Xenopus tropicalis: one gene and its partner. The protein of the gene in region 2 interacts with the protein of the main gene of each other region in a pairwise test. Links are inferred from orthologs where the notes say so. Each region holds a gene or a part of one and is shown on either strand. Other genes may lie near its edges.

Region 1 (2,632 bases), on a different chromosome or scaffold from region 2:
CATTTAAACGTATGATGGATATCTGAATGTCCATCAGAAGAAGGCTAAGATCTGAACATGTATGGCCACCTTAAAAGCAGTGGTTAACCTTTTTAGTTAACTTTTAGTATTTGATAGAATGCCCAATTCTAAGCAACTTTTGGTCTTATTTATTTATTTTATAGTTTTTGAATTACTTGTCTTCTAACTTTTTGCAGCTTTTAAACAGGAGTCACAGACTCCGGCAGCCAAAAAACTACTGCTCTGTGAAACTAAAGTTTTATTGTTATTGTTACCTTAGTAAGGCCTCTCCTATTCATATATCAGTCAACCAAATAGCTGCTGAAACTCCAAACAGGAGAGCTGCTGAACAAAAACTGAAATAATTAAAAATAAAAATAAAATTGCAAATTGTCTCAGCATATCACCCTCTGCATCATAATAAAAGTTTACTTAAAGGTGAACCACCCAATTAAGGCTGTGCTTCCTGCTTCATACTATTTAAAATATTATAAAAGAGTTGTCATAATTTATGGATCAGGCATAAATGGTGCCTATACCATGCTGTACAGTTAGCAAATATGCATATATCTACACACACCCACACAGCAGCAAACTATCTAAAATACAAAAAGACAACACATATAACACTTTCTTTTTTTATTATCTTTTACCAAATATATACAAAAGCAAAAGGCAGCTGGTCAAATGCACTGCATACAAAACTAAGAAGCATCATATAATCCCTGCTTTCGATTCTACCAGTATCATTCTGAGTACTCAAAATGGGGAATTTTCAGGGCTGCTGGTATGATACCTGGAACATGCCACTCCCTATTAAAGGCCCAATGTAATTAACTCAATGTACTTTTCTCTGGCAGGATATGGCTTAGCAAACCCAGTCTTGGTAACAGAAGGAGGGGATCAGGGGCTTCCAGTCAGACATTTAATTTTCAAAAATGAACCTTTCTGAGAACAATTGCATTTCAGTTCAGTAAGAGCCACACAAATTGGATCAGAACACAGTGGCAACGTTTGTTTGATTCTTGTAATTCAGCATGGGTTTTATATTGTATTATGAATGCATAGCCATTTATATACAAAACCGTACAAGACTTATCAAGAACTCAAACATAAGGGTGCTGGAAACAGACGGGGAAAAACCACACATCCTCACAATCGTTGTGCATCTGAAGATGTGCGTTGTGGCATTTCCCAATAATACTTAAACAAAAACTAGATGACTAGATGAAATTTCTATATTACTTTACGTGGAAGGTATGACAAACCTGGCACTGTAATGTAGTGCCATGTGTTTAAACCAGAAATTACATGTGAACAGAGGATAGGTGGAGGTCTTGGACATTAGGGAATAAAGAACAAAATAGTTTTGTTTATACACTCTAAGTATACTCAGCTTGCAAATTGAAAATAATCACATTATTAGGAGGAGATTCACACAGTTTGACAAGCTGCTAAATAATTGTGCGTATCAGAAGTCTGCCATTCAAATGGTAAAGACATGCTTTAATACCCAAAAGAACAGCATAAAGTGACTAAATGTTGCCATTATAGTAGAGCTCACACTCTGCTCAGCTAGCCACTTGCTGCAGCTTCGTCTTTATCCTGCTTCAGTCTGTAATCTGCCAGGGCTGCTCTGATGGCATCTTCAGCCAGCACTAAATAAAATGGAAAAAACATAGGCACAAAAGGTTACAAGAGACAAATCAGAGATGAAATAATGTGCAGAAGAGTTAGATAAATATATTAACTAGTTCATAACTAATACAAGATGTTTAAATAAAATATTTTTCAGTCTTGTTAACTGTGGCAGTGAGTTAGTTAAAAGCCTCTGAAACATTCCCTGCACCTTGTCTTTGGTTGCTTGTTGACAGTATTGCTGCAGTAAACAATATATAATGAGCAGTGGGATATAAGCCTCCCAACTATGCCCTTTAGAGTGATGGCACCCCAGAAAGTCGCCCGCCCAGGATAAATATGCAATCAAAAGAAATGCATACATTTTCCCACCAGCAATCTAAATTATTACATTAATGTTGCCCATGGTAGTGAAGATTTATTTTGAGCAACTAATTTCCGTGTGTGCCATCACTGTTAAAGGTGACAAAAAAATTCCCTCTTCCCATGTTTTCACCTACAGTGCCATCACCACATGAAAACTCCACTGCCTCTCCTATGGAATTAGAGTGACACTTCAAAAAACAGCTGTCAAAAAGCTTAGTCAGTGTGTTATGGCACCTTTAGCACTATTCTGTACACCTCATTGGAAAAGTAAATGAAAATCTACTTTGGGTCCTAGTGAAGGATTCCTAGTGAATCTATGCACCTGATCATAGAAGCTGCTGAGACAAACATTTTCTGCCTAATCTATAAAAAGCATTATTTTTACATAAAAATATGCAGGAAATATGATAACATTCATAAGTCTGGTAATACAGAGCAAAGACCCTTACTGGAACAGTGCAGCTTCACTGGTGGAAGGCAGAGTTCTTTGGCTATGTCTGTATTCTTGATAGTCATAGCTTCATCAACCTGTGTTTAATATAAACAAATAATACAATATTAATTAGCAAAAAAACAGGCCATTACTTTACCCTAAACAGTCTAATGACTCCTGTCTAAGTGTATATGA
Region 2 (3,661 bases):
AGCAGAAAAAAAAAAGTTATATTACAACGTGGCCATCACACAGACAGGCAGTAGCCTAGCTACTAGCTAAATCATTTTGTAATGCTGTTTTTTTTTTTTTTTTTTGCATAACTAAACATTCCTTTACAAGTCCCCAGATATTAAATTTGACCCAGCCTTTTTAAAGGACCATTAATGTAATGTGCTGCGGTGTCCTGCGGGCTTCTACTTTGAAGGTCATTAACATGCTAAATTCTGATACAACATTTATGTTGTCTCGAAATACAATATGTGAAACTTAAAAAAACAATGTATAGAAATCTATAGCCAAACTTCTGGAGAAAGCTGTAATTTCTTTCATGCAGGAAGGGGTCTGAGATACAAAGCAAACAGGTTTCTGGGGGCGAATGGCAGCAAATCCATTATTTACTGTAAAAAGCTGGCAAACAGACAATTCCAGAGGTTCTGTCTATGTTTTGTATTTTTCTTTACCATCTTCACTTATCACACAGATATGCTGAAAAGGAGAAGAAAAGAAAATAATTGATAAATACTTGCACCCAGCTCAGATAATCACAATTTTCACCTCTCTGAACTGCACATTATAATATGGATTACTGTGTAACTAAAGCCCATCAAAAGATTAGCCTAGATGTGCGCCTTATGTATAGTTCATGAAACCTATGGTTTAAAAAAATAGGGATTTACTAAATCCACCACTTTTGGATTCCACCAAATAAAAATATAAGGATATTAAAGAACACAAACCGAAGCTGAATATTTTAATTTGAGTGCAAATATCTGCATAATCCATCCACCCAGCAATTTAAAGTCATGTGACAATAAGATTCAGTTTGGGTCAGAATCTCAGATTTGGATCACTAATAGCACAACTTCTGGAATATATTATTTATTTAAAACAACATCAGCACATGACAATGCATCGGGTATGAAAGAGAGCGTAACCGATGCATTTCTATCCTTCGCAAAGAAAAAGCACAACAAAAAAAGGGATGCAGAGCCCCCCTCCAAAAAAATGTATCAAATCTCAGCTCATAAACCATAAAACTGTTCCCCAAGTAAAAACACAGAAACAGGGAGAACAGGAAAATATATATATTTGTACCTCCTGAGAAGCCTGGTGGCGGTATGCACAGAGGTTATCGTCTCTCCCAGCCCATGCTCCCTGGCTATAGATTGGCCAAGGCATCTTTAATGAGTATCGATCACTTTTTGGCGACCTACATTAGCGTGTCTCTCTGGTTATATGTATTTTTGTACTGGACTTGTGACTTTCATTGGGACTGTCCCTTCATAATTGGGTGATACCTGACTTCTACACATGCAACTCAGGCATACATAGAAAATTCTAATTATTGGTCAGACTTGAGAAAGTGGCCACAGCCTGCTGGGAGAGTGGGACAACAGTAAGCCATAATGACTTCCACTTGGAGATGGTTTGCCCCCTTTCTATGTATGCTTACATGGTCTGAGATTGCACGGGTTGCATCATGTGTCTGGGGTGACTGTGAGATCAAGTTGCTTGTATGCTTACAATATATATTTTTCCTGTTCTCCCTATTTATGTGTTTAAATTGGAGAATGATTTTAATTAATAAAGGTGTGCTTTTAAATGGTTATGACCCAAGATTTGATTCATTTTTTGCATCCCCTCTTTTGGGGTGTTTTTTCTTTTTCTTTGCAATTATATTTTTTCCCCCTGAGAATCAATTCACCCCACATGGGGGGGGGGGGGATATTGTATGCTCCTAACCCTGGGTTTAATTCAATCTACTTGATATGTAGTTAAATCTAGAGATTTAATCCCCACAAGTGTGTTTGTTATTTTTACATTTCTATCCATCACTGGGGACCCAATGTACTAACAAGCATGCTGGGTAATATAGTCAAGCAGTGAGCAGACAATAATGTAAAGTACACTGTGCAAATCCTATAATTACTTACGTTCAGGTCTCTGAAGTACTCGTTGTAGTCTAATGCGTAACCAACAACAAATTTGTCTGGCACCTCAAATCCAACAACTACAAAGAAAGTTTAGAAAAGAAAATAACGCAAAAACAGTTGTCTTTTTAGATAACAATCACATTATATAGCATGTGCACTTGTTTGCTGTAATAGTAAATATGTGACATTGCTAAACTACTTACAGTCTGGCCTGTATCCCACACTTCGTGGCGTTCTTTTTACAAGCAAGCTGTTGAAAAAGAGAGATCAGAGATATGGCATCAGGTAGATTACAGAAACGCTTAATTATTTTCTACATTCCGACTCCTAAAACAATGTAGCAGCATCTGGCTGATTAACAGAACTGAATGAGAACTGACTACATTTACAAAAAATTATACTGAAAAGTTGAAAACAATTACATTGTATTTCACTGTGCAAGTTTTTGGGTGGCAATCCCCTTTAAGACTTTTACATAACATGCAAAGTATGTCAACTTACTTATGTTGGATTTCAAAAAAATAAAATAGTCAGCAGCAAATATTAAAACAAAAAGCTTTACTTTTCTTTACACTGTGTTTTCTTTGATTCTCCAACGGTTCATGTCTTTTCTAAATGTAATTTTGTCCCTGATGCCTTTATCCACACTATTTCATTTTACTGTCCGATAATGAACTGTATGATCACTGCAGGGTTCCCTGGCTGTAATCACCCTTCTCTCTCCAGTCACTTTTACCACATGTTCACATTGCAAATTCTATTCTCACCCTTTCCTTCACATACACAATATACATCTTGTTACCTTTGCTTTTACTCATATAAGCACTGATGTCCTTTATCTAGTGTTCATGTTCACACAAGGAATCAAATTGAGAAATTCATTAAACATTAAATTTAATTTTTCTTCAGCTTCGCTCTACTGGAAGGGATTCCAGTATTTATAAAAGGACAAAGATTCTTTCACACAAGATATATTTAAGGGGGAAATTCTGTGTGCTGCCATAGAAGACTGAAGGAAAGACAATTTAAAGGTAGACACAATATTAATTCTTTCTGTTACATCTCCTTGCAGCACATACCAGAGAAAAAAATAATTTTGGACAGGTTAATCGATTGCCTCCAAAACTTTGGGATCAAAAACGCCCCAACTAGAAGAGTGTATCTTATTTGACAACAGTATAAATGCTGTGCATTACAATCTGGTTTATCTGCTCTACAGAAGCTCCTACTTTTTCTGCTTATGACGGCTGCTGATGATTTCATAGAATATTTTCACAACCTTCTGGGAGGATCTAACTGAATAGATTATACATTATTCATACCAATCCTTGCCCCAGAGGGGTCCCTATTGCATTTACACAAACACACTAGGGTCAGTTTTATCAGATGATGCTGTGTTTCATTACATAAAGAACACTAGATGAAAACAATTTATAGGGCCGTCCCTTCTATCCTATTAAGGCCTAAAGACTTCTTTTTCAGTTTGTGCTGATGTGAAGGCAGACGGGAAGAAAACAGGCCCTTATAAACTGCTGCATTGTGCTCATAGCAGAGAAATACCTATGCTGTCAGTTTTATGGTGTCTTTCTGTACAAACTATGAGCAATCTAAGTTGGTTCTGAAGCAGATGTGCCTGTACATTTTATTACCGCTTTCCCGGCTAACATTATAGCACATCTCTTGCTCCCCAAGTCTTCCTAATACCCCCGCCCCAATA

What was found. The genes of interacting proteins can lie anywhere in the genome.
Region 1: the proteins of hprt1 (region 2) and iscu interact in binary tests that used the Homo sapiens proteins (3 or more experiments, as listed by UniProt). The two-hybrid records come from large-scale screens. The link is inferred for Xenopus tropicalis from reciprocal best matches to the Homo sapiens genes HPRT1 and ISCU.

The regions. Positions count from the first base shown.
Region 1 is NC_030677.2:146,320,240-146,322,871, reverse strand, and holds the end of iscu (iron-sulfur cluster assembly enzyme ISCU, mitochondrial), read right to left. Parts: intron 2,533-2,632; coding exon 2,454-2,532; intron 1,659-2,453; coding exon 1,576-1,658; 3' UTR 635-1,575; downstream 1-634.
Region 2 is NC_030684.2:68,454,776-68,458,436, reverse strand, and holds part of hprt1 (hypoxanthine-guanine phosphoribosyltransferase), read right to left. Parts: intron 2,195-3,661; coding exon 2,148-2,194; intron 2,022-2,147; coding exon 1,945-2,021; intron 497-1,944; coding exon 449-496; 3' UTR 1-448. UniProt on the Homo sapiens protein: Converts guanine to guanosine monophosphate, and hypoxanthine to inosine monophosphate. Transfers the 5-phosphoribosyl group from 5-phosphoribosylpyrophosphate onto the purine.